2 linked regions of the Lepisosteus oculatus genome follow. Each later gene encodes a partner of the first gene's protein in a complex. Links are inferred from orthologs where the notes say so. Each region holds a gene or a part of one and is shown in the gene's direction. Other genes may lie near its edges.

Evidence for each region.
Region 2: the proteins of mchr2a (region 1) and pmch are in contact, whole or in part, in a cryo-EM structure (PDB 8WST), measured with the Homo sapiens proteins. The link is inferred for Lepisosteus oculatus from reciprocal best matches to the Homo sapiens genes MCHR2 and PMCH. Residues at the interface, in NP_001035269.1 of Homo sapiens: His82, Gln92, Trp93, Gly96, Gly97, Thr110, Asp113, Gln117, Ile175, Phe177, Val181, Ser183, Cys184, Ala185, Phe186, Leu188, Thr189, Ser190, Pro191, Val194, Tyr197, Thr198, Tyr267, Gln271, Asn274, Met277, Glu278, Gln279, Pro280, Phe284; in NP_002665.2 of Homo sapiens: Leu151, Arg152, Cys153, Met154, Leu155, Gly156, Arg157, Val158, Tyr159, Arg160, Pro161, Cys162, Trp163.

Annotation. Positions count from the first base shown.
Region 1 is NC_090697.1:31,637,189-31,644,256, forward strand, and holds the start of mchr2a (melanin-concentrating hormone receptor 2), read left to right. Parts: upstream 1-4,040; 5' UTR 4,041-4,193; intron 4,194-5,068; 5' UTR 5,069-5,089; coding exon 5,090-5,274; intron 5,275-5,650; coding exon 5,651-5,860; intron 5,861-7,068. UniProt on the Homo sapiens protein: Receptor for melanin-concentrating hormone, coupled to G proteins that activate phosphoinositide hydrolysis.
Region 2 is NC_090702.1:54,817,947-54,824,125, forward strand, and holds pmch (pro-MCH), read left to right. Parts: upstream 1-4,398; 5' UTR 4,399-4,463; coding exon 4,464-4,712; intron 4,713-5,033; coding exon 5,034-5,238; intron 5,239-5,445; coding exon 5,446-5,495; 3' UTR 5,496-5,667; downstream 5,668-6,179. UniProt on the Homo sapiens protein: MCH may act as a neurotransmitter or neuromodulator in a broad array of neuronal functions directed toward the regulation of goal-directed behavior, such as food intake, and general arousal. May also have a role in spermatocyte differentiation.

The DNA of each region.
Region 1 (7,068 bases):
ACAATTCCTCCCTCCATGTGTGGACCACACATTGGACATGATAGGAAGAGCTAAACTCTTCACCAAGCTCGTGGCAAATTCAGGTTTCTTGCAGGTCCACCTCACAGAGGAGTCTCCAAAGCTGACAACATTCATCACACTTTATGGGCACCAGACCTTCAAAAGACCTCCTGTAGGAATTTCATTTGCTCCTGACCTTTTCCAGGTGCAAATGAATCATTCAGCCAGACCCAGATAAATTGGCTGGAATCCAGAACATACAACAGCCTACCAATGCTTCTGAAGTGTGCAGCTTTCATGGCATTGGAAGCCACGGTAAGCTTGGAAAGTTAATTAGTGATATAGCAGAGAAAACTAAACCTTAGTATAACCTTCTTTCACAAAGAAACCTTTGGACTTGGGATATACTGTACCTCAGGAGCACTTATTATTATTAAAATTTAAACTAATCTCACCCCCAACATTAGAATTTTGTTCCCTTCCAAGGAGACTAAAGTTGCAGCAAATGCGTCATCCATTGGTTTAGGTGGTATCCTCATGCAAAACAACAATGGGACTTGGAAAACAGCAGCACACCTTGTACTGTATGTGTCAAGAACATTGACTCCAACACAGCAGTGATATGCTCTTTGAGAAATACAGAAAGAGACTTTACCACTTGTGGGGCCATGCAGAAGATTCAGTGTTACCTCGCCTGACTTCTTTTCTTTCTTCAGACAGTCCACAAGCCACCTGGGAACTAACTAAGCACTAAACATTCGATTGATCTACCACTACAACTACAAAGATTCAGAATGCGGCTCATGGTATTCTCATACACCATTGACCATTGACTGGGAAATCATTCACAGACAAATATGCTGTTAAGGATGCCATGTTCCAACAATTTCACTGATATAGACCCTGCTCCTGCAGAACACACCAACATCTATCTTGCCCAAATAGCTTAAAGCTTCCCTGCAGCGCAGAACACATTGGACGAAAACCGCAGTGAGCTTCTTAAAGACCCTACCTATGAGGAACTGTGAGTTAAGACGGCCAAATGCTACAAAAAACATGGGGTCCCTCTGCCATTAGCTAAAAAAGTACAATTTGAGACATGGTACAAGATCCCTGTCACAGCTGAAAGATAGAGATGATGTTAAGATTCTGACAAAGGCATCAGAGGAACAGTAATCTGACAGCATGCTCCAAATTTGATTGTGTTAAAGATATCACAAGGTCAACTGTGGCACCAGACCTACCCACAATGACAATTTATCTGAGACTGAAACACTGCTGACAGAAACAACAACAACACAGTTTCAGTCCATAATTCCAAGACCTCCAAAAACATATACAAGATCAGGATACCAATGTAGTGATCTAACTGGCAGAACAATCCACTCACTTTCCAGGAGTGCTCAGGTTTTCCCAGTCTATGTGAGGAAAACAAAACACTCCCATAATAACTTCTTCTTTTTTTACACGTTTCGGATCTCATTATTTAGTACATTACAATTGATATCTGCATTTGGCTGACAGTATTCCTAACACTGCACCTTTTGAATGGTATTTATAAAATATTTTTATTAAAAATAATCAGCCCCTTCCAATGATGTCATATACATTTTCTAATTAAAACATGCATGTTGAAACTGAATTTGTATAGGTGTAAATTAAATCTCAGCAAAATCTGCAATGAACAATGAAAAACGAAAATGTACTTGTCACAAATCGCACCACCACATACCCACACGCACTCTGCACTGCACATACTCATGTACTAATTGATACCACACTCCTTCCTATTTAAACCCTGTCTCCTAAATCCGTCCTCACTCACCACTGAGACTTTTCTCAGCTAGAGCTACTCTACCCTTCAATCCTGATTTCTAGTTCTCTCTCGACCTTAGCTTTGTGTCCTAGACATCGCTCTTGACAAACGATCTGGATACCTTTGCTTTGTTTCGGATTTTCATTCAACCGCCTCTCTGGCCACGCATAGGGTCCAACTAACTAACCTAAGTTTGGGCATTACTGACAGTACTGACTGTAAAGGTATTCACTTACTTTTCTGTGGCAAACTGAAATTAGGTTGGTGCACAATTACTTTGACAAGTCTTACAGTTAGTTAAATGGCCTCTGGCTGTGTGCAATTATAGAGGGTCAGATGATCTCAGAACAATACACCTGTCTAATGTTCCGTTGTTATTCTTAATTAATATTGATACAAAATGTAAGAATTTGATTATATGAAATGTTAATAAAGGTATTGCTTGCAGGATAAATATACATATAAAGTATTTCTGGAATCACAAGGTTACAAATCGTGCTAGACAATTAACTCATTAAGCATTCAAAAGCAGTACCTTAGCTTCAACACGCGATTTCATTCACTGATTTCAGAGGAATTCTCCTAGGACTACAAAGACAGCTAAAACGTTTGAAAATTATGAAGACAGAGAAAAAATAAGCATATTAAATTGCTTATTATCCATGGACATGCATGCAAACACTCAGATCACAGAGAGAGACTTGGGGGGAAATGGCACAGTATCCCTTTTTTGTCATCTTCCATTTGCAGAGTTCATAGATAGTCTTGCTTTACTATGTGTTATAGATAAGTGTAACGCAACGGGGGTTCAGGTGGGCGCCCTTACCGCAGTGGGTCGGTCCCGCACCGTCGTGGGCTCAAACCCGGGACTCCCGCGTCACTCAGCCCGGTGAGCCAAAGATCTCGCCACAGCGCAGGGGCCGTATGCGTTACATACTGTAAGGCTTGATTAAGTACTGTACACAGTTGCTACCTTACCTAGAATAAAATAATATAGAAGTAGTAGGGCAGTAGGTAACCACCTTCTTCTGATTTTAAACAGATCATAGACAAAACCAATACTGAACCCTGATCCATCTATCCATCCAAATTGACGTCTTTATTTAAAATTAATTTCGCTGAAAACAGTACTGAACTCCGAAGAAAACTGGAAATTGTAGAGTGGTACAGAAATTGTTTAGTAAAAAAGTAAGCAAACCAATGCACAATCTAGCGATTATAGAAAATGGGATTAAGTGCTGTATTACAATACATACTGTACTACTGAAAAAGACTACAAAAGTAAAAATATATAAATAAGAAGCGTCAGATATCCGTTTTTCCATAGCGTACTCCTGAAGCAGAACGAATGTAATTTATTCTTTGCATTTGGCCATTTTTGTATATACTGTATGTGTTGTCTACAAAATAAGGAAGAACATTTCCCATGCCATTACATTACACAAAAATATCATATATCTCTTAAGTGAAAAGATCCTCTGCTTTCTCCCGTTTTATTGTTAAAACAGGTTTTTCTCCAGAGGCTCTACGTGCTCTCCCTACAGTGTACAGCATAACTATCAGAGACCACACTGCAATTTAGACTATTAGTTTGCTGCAGATTGGGGAATTTTAACTACAAGACCTGTTTCTGCGCTATTAGTAAGAGAAAAATATTGAAAATATTTTATGGAGAAAGGTGCAAAAAGGAAATCTTCAGGTTAAAGTAATTAATTTTTCTAGACCTCCAATAGTACAATTTTCTTTAAAATGCCATGCTACGCACATTGTGTCGAATTGATCATGTTAAGAAGAGGAAAATTACACAGCATTGGTTAGTAACATATCCAACACGAAGTAGGAGCACTTCAGTAGGATCAGAAAACCAATGCGATCTATCCACCTAAAGCGATTCAGTCATCACTTGAGTAACTGGTGAGTTCGTACTTTTGTCGTTTTTGTTTCTCAATTCGTGTTTATTAAGTAAACATTACTGATAACATTTAAACCAACGGGATAGTCTACAACAGATCGATAACGACACTGCGTGATACATTTTAGAATAACACATTTGAGTGATACCGCTCACCTATTGTATAAAGGACGTACTGCAGTAGGAATAACCTTGTCACCCAATTGATTCTGATGCACACGTCTGTCCAAACACTGACGTTACAGGGTTCAGATAGATGAACATTACTGTGGCGATAACCGGTAGCCGCTTTATCACTCTTTAAAAGAACTTAACCGACTGCAACAAAATATATTATCGATGTGCGTTAGAATAGGACAATACGTTTTCGTGCGCGTCTTTTCTGCTTTTCAAACTCTCCTGGCTGTTCAAATACCAAAAAGGTGCAGAAGACGACTGAGACCTGTTAAACATTTTAGGCTTTCGGTGAGTTGACATAGCTTTTCTTAATCTTAGCATTGTGTGCGACAAATTGAGCAGAATTAATAACGTAAATAAGATAAGCAATGCAATTTAAACTTTCCACAAAGTGGAGCTGTCCTCCATGAAGACCTTATAAAGGTTTGGTGCGGACAACGTACAGTATACTGTAGATGAAGTACACATAGTAGTAAAAAATCTGTGGTCTGTATACGGGACGTACTGTATAACAACTATTTTAAAAATAATGGTAGTGCATATTCAAATTTCGACTCGCGTTTAATTAATTTAATATAAGCACTGTATGTTTAATCTACTGTGTGTTGGTTTAATTTGCGGGGGTGTATCTTATGATGATTGAGATCAGTTTAATATTTTCTATGTTCGGTTTATTTCATTATAGGTATTCCAGTTATACAATATACAATAACTTCTTGTTATTCTGCACACAAAAAAAGAAAATCGATCTGGCCTGTGGCTCAAAGGGTTAAACACCTACCGAATTCCGCATCGCTAACAGCAGCAGTTGATGTAAAGATTGCCCTGTTTTTCCAAAATTAGGAATATACATGTAGCTCACCTTAGCAGACATTTCTATAAAGGCTATTTTGTGTCTTTGAATCTCTGTATGGACCTTTCTTAATTTGTTCATCATCACTTGGAAATATTTATCTCATTTACTATACCTCATTTTAGAATGAAAGAAATGGCAAACTTGAAACCCTAAAGATGAAAATCATGCCATAGTAGAATATGACAGGTTTCGTGACAGGATTCATGACAGATTAATGAATCTGGCATACTGTATGTTTTCCGGTGATTGTTATTATTTCAATATTGTTATTTTGTTGTCATACTTTATTTCTTTTTCTATTTAAAAGACAATTATATCTTTATGAAAAATGAATGAGTTTGACAGCCCATGCTGGAACAACTCGAACAAAAGCTTGGACAGTGCTTGGCAGACTGGAGTGGGTGGCTATGACTTTCATCATGCTGCAGAGACCATAGTTCTGCCTTCCTTCATTGGAGTGATATGTTGTGCTGGACTAGTTGGAAACATTTTCATCTTGGTCACAATCACAAGGTATGGAAAGCAATACTCAGAAACCTGGCATTCTACATCAGTATGTAGAATTGATGCAATTGATGCATTTCTCAATTATCAGACATAGAAATACAATTCAGAAACTATACATATACTGTATTACTCTCTATGAAAAGACTATCAATTCTTCTCATATACATCAAGAGAGCTTCTGTTCCAGAAATGACCCAGTTACTGTCCGATGAAATGCCAGTGCAACATCCTTCAGTTTACTGTTATATGCATAGTTGCAGTTGTACAGTATATGTTAGTGCTTGATGTTGTGGGGAGAAATCTGATTTTTTTAGAGGCTGCTGATGACTGTCCGCATTTACTGTAATAGTTTCTAATCGTTATTTATCTGTGGTTCATTCAGGTCAACAAAAAAGACAATCCCAGATGTGTACATCTGTAACCTGGCAGTGGCCGATCTTGTTCATGTGGTAGTGATGCCCTTCTTGATTCACCAGTGGGCACGTGGAGGACAGTGGGTGTTTGGCAGTGCTCTGTGCACAATTATTACATCACTAGACACCTGCAACCAGATGACATGCAGTGCAATCATGACAGCTATGAGCTTGGACAGGTAAGAAATTAATTTGACATATTAATCGATTCAGGACTCTGAAACACTTGAAAGCATTCTGCCTTTAACTTTCCTAAATATAGGTTTCCATGAATTTGACTTTACTATCTTGAATCTGTTCAGTGGAGCACTATCTAATAATTACCTTATAAAACGAGGACCTGGCTTGCTGTTGCTGACAGCCACGTCTCACAGATGGGCAGGGAATCCAATTGCAGGTACTTGGTGATTTGCAGCAGCTGCCGGAGTTAGCTGAGGAGATACTGGGAATGGCTGACTGGGAGAAGATGAACAGGAACTGGAACTACACAAAAATAGGCAGGGAAAGATGTCACAGTAAAGGTGCTGGCTGAACAGGCTGCAAGCAGGGTTTGGGTCTCAGGTCTCAAGGTCCGGGTTTCTTGGTTCGTTGGTTAGCACATCTACTGGAGCAGAGTAGGGCGTTGCACTGGCTCAGCTAATTCAATGACAGAGCACCTTTCCAGTGGCGTTTCAAGGGTTTTATAGAAAGGGCTGTGTTTGATTCATTGGAAAATTGTGTTTCTGATTGATCGGGGAGGGACAAATAGACAGATGGTCGGTATGTATTCGAATAGGAGCCCCTGGAGGAATGTGATCACTCATGGGAATACTGTGGTCTGCAGCGTGACATACTGTATATAACTTATAATGCTGCAAAAAGTCTTATATTGCAAGATTAGAAGATGTTCTTGAGAAGGAAAAAGCTATGGAGGTTTGTTTTAAAACTAATGTTTTAATTTATAATTGTTGTCTAACACTCAAAATAGCATGGCAGGTAAATAAACATCAGGAAATTTTCCGTCTTTATTTTAAGTTATTTCAAATGAAATTGTTCATCTTTATTTTAAGTGTCTAGTTGTGGTCAAATACTAGATCTTACTTTACTGTCACTGGTTAAATTTAGAAACAAGGCATTTAAAATCCAGCTTTATCTGAAAAAGATACTCCTGTTTTCATATTGTTACAAAATTAGGCACGTTCCAACTCCGATTGTAATTAATTAAATAGGTACAGTGCAGGGTGTTTGCTTAAATATAAATGTTAAAAAATACTACATAGCATGACTCCTGTGGTATGGAGTTAAAACTAAGTGGATCATTTGATTTGTTTTCCTGGCATTGTGGCAAGGAAAAGAAATAAGGCACAGACTTCCACAGACAGATAAATATTACTTTACAATACAAACA
Region 2 (6,179 bases), on another chromosome or scaffold:
GCACACCTCTAGTATAGCAGAAAACGAATTAAAACCATGTGATAATGTAACTGTAGGCTTTGTGCGCTGGTGGTTAAACGCTCTGCCTGGACAGTTGGGAACTGGATAGAGACGGATATTCCCTGTGCAGTTTATTGCTGAACAGCCATATTTACACCTCCTGCGTTCTTCCCTTCTCTGTTCCTGATATCCTCTCTTTCCCAGGCACGTTTTCCCCACAACGAATCAGAACAGGACCTAAGCTTACAATAATGATCACATATACCCTTCACCGATAATCTAATCAACTCACACCACCATCTAATCTATTTACAACGATTAGAGGCTGTTTTGCGCCTCTAGTGGCAGGACAGCTGTAACAACAGCCTCCTCTTAGGCCAGCTGGCCTCCCACAGCCGTCACGAAATGTTATTCGAGTTAAATATTGTGAACCAGATACTAAGGTTGACAAAAAAAAAAAGCAAAAAAATGTTTTTGGGTCATAAGAGAGTTCAAATTAGATGACCGATGTAAGAAAAGTATTTTTCTTTTTACAGAATGCAGTGCAATATATGTTTACTGCCCCAACTGTACGCTTTTCAAGATGTCATTATACACTTATAATACACTATATAATTTTGTGTTGGACTCAGGGCAAAGATCACAGCCATATCATATACTGAGGGCAAAGGTCATAGCCATTTGGTGGAGTTAGATATGCGGATGTATTTTAATGACTTCTCCTGCACTATTGATTTTTCTTCTGGGTCTGATGCCCTTAAGAAAGGATCCCTTTTGTTTCATGAAAAACGTCTAACAATGTCATCACACTGTTCTTCAGGCAGCTCACCAGTTTCGTAGACTACAAAATACTCAAATAGGAACAAGAACTTCAAGACAAATACTACACTTTTCATTCATTCTGTATCTCCTGTATCAGGGGCCTCCAGGACAAATGAATGTAAGCAGTTCCTGTGACATTAAACAAACATTAGTTAAAGGCCTGGAGATTCACATTCCCATGTATTTCTGACGGTACGAAAAGCAGAAATGAAAGAAAAAAAAAGACATCTAAAGAAGGCTGCAGTCTTGTCCATTTGGAGAGGAGAGGAAACTGACACAGGAGAGAGAGGTTAGAACAACAAATTGAGAAGTAGAGAGGTTCACATCCAGTTACTGGAACACACTACTCCCAAAAGGCCAGTTCAGTCCTTCAATAGAGCCCATCGCCCTCCAACACAAATATGGACAAAATAAAGGCACTGGTATCCAAGTAAAATTACTTCAGCTGAGTTAAATGATTATTATTCATGTAATATTTCTCTTTCTCGATGCTATAGCTTCTGTGATGGTAATAAGGTAAGTCTCTGTTGTTTTCTTTAGAACAAGAGAGTCTGGGGGAGCTGGAAAGCTGTGTCAATACTTTTTTATTTTCTCAGATAAAAAAAAAAAGCATTTCAACTCATTCATCTCCATAATTGATATCCATAGTTAGAATAAGTGCAGTGCCCGCAGGAGAGGTGAATATCAGACAGTACAGTACAGCTACCACTCTGGTCCTGACAGCCTTACAGATTTCTCTCAGCCACCTTCCTCAACGAGGCACACATCAGTGAGTCTCGCCCGATATGGAAGCTACTTTGAAAGCCTGTATAGTTTTCTATCTCATGTCTGAGGATCACAAATTCTGTCACCGAAGATTCTTTGCATCAGATGATCCAATTGAATTATGGGCGTATTGGATCGCTCAGCCAGCAGCCATTTCACCCTGCAGCTCGCCCACTGGAGCTCAGCAGGGCTGAGCCTGGACAGCACACTCACCCTGTGGTCTATGGGAGTTTTAATGCCCAGGGTGTACCCGGCCTTGTGCTCGTTGCTTGCCGGGTAGGCTCCGGCTTCCCGCGAAACCGTACGGTATAAAGCAGTTCGGTAAATGACATGACATGGATCGTTCAGTGAGCATTTGGCAATTACTGCACGATTGTTGTAATGCCCAGTGTAGTGCTCTGTGCTGTGTATTCAGCACTGAGCTCATGTTGGCAGGAAGCCCAGGTGCCTTCATCCCAGTCCTGAGCTCTTACAAGTGTGTCTGCTACAGCTGGGGATGCTGGGAAGACTAGACACCAGTGGCACCCCAGCGGGAGATACCCATCATGCCAGGGTGGCGATGTGTGACTGCTGTGGTCTCCATCAGGCTGTCCGTCACAGGCTGACCCAGTCTGTGAATCACAACTGCAGCCAGGATACTGTCCACCCATCTACGTCAATGCCTCAGCATCCCAACGTCACAACATTTTGACTCAGCCCAGCCCAGCCTGCTCATTAGAGCACTGGCTTTTTGTCCTCAGAGGCCAGTGCATACACACAGCTGCAGTAATAAGCAATCATCCTACTCGCATCTATATTTGCGGGTCTTAAAACTATTCTGCCAAGTGTGGGGTGTCACAGATATGCAAGTGTCCAAGTTGAGTTTATACGTTTAGCAAACTGATTATTTGGAAATGAAATGTATGGATAAGCTGTGAACACATGGCTCTTTTGTTGTGTTTATGAGTCCTGCTGAAAGGATGTGTTTGCTCTCGAAATGTAAATGGAGTTCGTCAGGAGTGTGCGGGAGGAATGGAGGCAACCAAACCCCCCTTCCTCTCCGCTGCGCTAACTTGTAATCCCGCATGACGTCACTTCCTGACATGCTATAGAAATGACAGCAGCCCCCTCCGCTGGTGCTGCTCTCCCCCACAGCTCATTTCACTCTGCAGGGGCTCCTACCCTCCTCGTCCTATGGGGGCCGAGTCTCGCCCAAGCGCGTCGAGCCAAAACTCTCCACGCCTAACCTGTCCAATAAACACGCAGGACGCGGTTTCCAATTGGGCGCCGTTATTCTTCGGATATCGGAATCTACGTTTGGGGGTCGGGGGGGGGGGGACTGTAAAACATAATTTGTTCACACAAAGGGAAACTGAACTGCGACGCATGAGCACCTGCAAAGCTGAAGCTGGCAGCGTGAGAGGGCTGGGGTGTAATTGGAAATACAGGGCAGTCCAGGTTCTGGAAGACTGGTCTACGCCAACGCCAGCCCAGCTCATTATTGCAAGAATGGCTTAAGGGACTTAAACCTGCAGACCTAAACCTGGCTCTCTAAGACTGGGATTGCTTGTCCCTGGCCTAGATCTCTGTGATGATCACTTCAGTTCTTCCATGTGCTGCTTGGATAGCAAATATATCCAGCCAGCCCCCAGTCCTACCTTCCAGTCCTGGAGGGTCAGTGTGTCTGTAGCAGGGCTGTCCAGTCCCGGTCCTGGAGGGTCAGTGTGTCTGTAGCAGGGCTGTCCAGTCCCGGTCCTGGAGGGGTCAGTGTGTCTGTAGCAGGGCTGTCCAGTCCCGGTCCTGGAGGGTCAGTGTCTGTAGCAGGGCCGTCCAGTCCCGGTCCTAGAGGGTCAGTGTGTCTGTAGCAGGGCTGTCCAGTCCCGGTCCTGGAGGGTCAGTGTGTCTGTAGCAGGGCTGTCCAGTCCCGGTCCTGGAGGGTCAGCGTGTCTGTAGGTTTTCATTTCAACTCTAAAGAAACCAAAAAAGCCAAACTAGTTGGCTACTGGCTTCTGGACCCATAGAGCAGCTTCTTCCAGCCCTTCAGGTGCCACTGTTTTAAACAGACCAGACCAGTGTGGGCACCCCTGCTCTATGTGAACTCATGGAAGACAGCCATCATCACTAACAGTTAATGAGATGTGTCCTGCTATCACAAAGAACACAACCCCAGCCTTTGGCCTTCATGTTTGAAAAACAGAGAACGGAGATCGCATGACTACAGCCAGTCTTGTGATTGCAGAAAACATCCTCATGGCAAACACAAACCTAAAGTTTGTGATGAAGACTCCAAATGTTTCCTTCATCGGCAAACCAATGCATTGCCAACAGGGCAATTTTTTTCCAACTTCTTTTCTTTCTGAAAATGAAATGCCACATCAAAGCAAGGTGGCAGAACCATCAGGAGGCACACTGCACACTTCAGTGTCGGTGAGGGAAGCGGGTTTAAGAGATACAGCACACTTACTGCGACTTTCTTCTTGCAGAAGAAAAGAAGTCTATAGTCCAACCTTTCTTTCATTCCTCACCAGCTGATTAATTCAATCAGAAAAAACACTTCAAAGATAATCTTTAAAATTAGATTGCCCAGTGTACTGACTACTACAATACCACCCCACTGTGTAATTCTCATTGATTCGCAGACAACTTCAACCACCTTTCTGTGAAGCTTAACTTATTTTTACCAGGATGAAAACAAACCTCATTCAGGGGTCTCGCACCTTTAATCATATCTGACTCACAAAAAGGCTGTTCAAAGTTAGACGTCACCTTATTTCCACTTCTCTTCTCCTGCCACCATATATAAAGGGATGGACAAACCTGTGGGATGCAGTCAGTCAGGGAAAGCAATTGATTAGTTGGGTTTCTATGCGAACCTGTTGAACCTGAATCAAGTCAGAATGAGTTTCTCGGCATACTCCATTTTACTGGCGGTGGTGCTACTTTTTGAATGCCACACAGACTCAATAGCAGTATCTGCTGCCAAGATCGAGGACTCCAGAATGCTGAACGATGCCTTCAGCCACGAGCCGTTCCTGAATGAAGAGGTGGTTGATAAGGGCATCAGCACCGTGCCATCAAACCGCTACCTGGCCCCAGAAGGCACCGTGGGAAACGAAGGGGGAAACTCAAAGATCTTCATTTTCACAGTAAGTCTCTCCTTGCTCTGCCGAACAGCAGGCAGATTTATTTTAGCATTTCGTCCTATGATAGGAACAGATGTTTCACTTTGTCAAATGCTCAAAATGTCTACCACTCTACTAAGAATATCACAAACATGAGGCATGGTAACTGTGTATCAAAACCAGTCACCTGCAGCCGCTGTAGAAAAGAGAAAATTTTATTTTCTTATATTTTATATATATATACTGTATGTATGTATGCTTTCTGCCAGAACAGTTTCCCAGCTCACACCGTCTTACAGGCTGTAGCCTTCATTTCTAAGTCTTTTTGACCTTGACCGCGAACAGGACTTCGGCATGAAAAAGAACTACAGAGGTCTCTACAGACCTGCCCTGTCCATGGATCTGCCGGCCAGACAGCTGCCCTACTACACCGTCAGAGAGCTGGATGCAGAGCAGCCAGAGAAAGTCCAGGCCTTTGTGAAAGAGGAACGCAGGGACACCGAATCAGACCTGAGCTCCAGCATTCCAGTGGGCAGAAGAGACTTTGACAGTAAGCTTGTGCCAATACTTCTCCTGCTCACAGAACTTTAACATGTACATTGTTGTGATTTATTAGACCTATGAAAATGTTGTTATCTCCATTTTAAATGTAAAGACTATTTTATTTTTTAGCACAAAGAGAAAAAAATAGATGCTGGCGATTGCCCTTGCACATGGGTATTGATGATCAAGTCCCGTCTCTCTGGTTTTCTTCTAGTGCTCAGATGCATGCTGGGAAGAGTATACCGGCCATGCTGGCAGGTGTGAGAGCCGAGGGCCAAGAGCACCCCAGCACTGCCCATGCTCCACCCGTGTCCCACCACGCTGCATTGCTCGTTACGCTCAAACTGTTTTATTATTGCAATACACTGGAAAATGTATAAAATGTTTATTAAAATGATCTGAGAACCTGAATAAAAAAATGTTGCAAGCCTGAGAATCTGAACGTGTGACATGTATACCTTCCAGTTCATTCAGAACAAGGGTTACAGGTGAGAGGGGACCACTCGACTCCTCCAAGTCATTTGGTCATGATAACCAAAACAAAAAGGACAAACGCACAAACTGGAGCACGAAGCTGAGTTTTATATGTATGTTTTCCTTCACTTTTTATTTACATTTCTCCTTCTACCATAAAGGCAGTATACATAAAAAAACAATGAGAAGGTTAAAAAAAGAGAGCAGATGGATATGACATCTCTAAGGAAAGATTTTGCTTGCCAATGCTAGCCCAAAATACAAATCCAAGTCATGATGTGGACTCATTTCTGGGTTAATTCCACCCGAGACAGAAATGTGAACTGAAAAAGAAGTCAGCGCATTTAAACCCTCCTGAATCCTAATGAGAAGTTCGGTAACCAACCTGGGAGAATATGAATCAGGGTGCACAACATTATCCCTTTGAAAACAGATTAGCAATCGCGATGTCTGGGGTTGGTCCCGTCAGTCCAC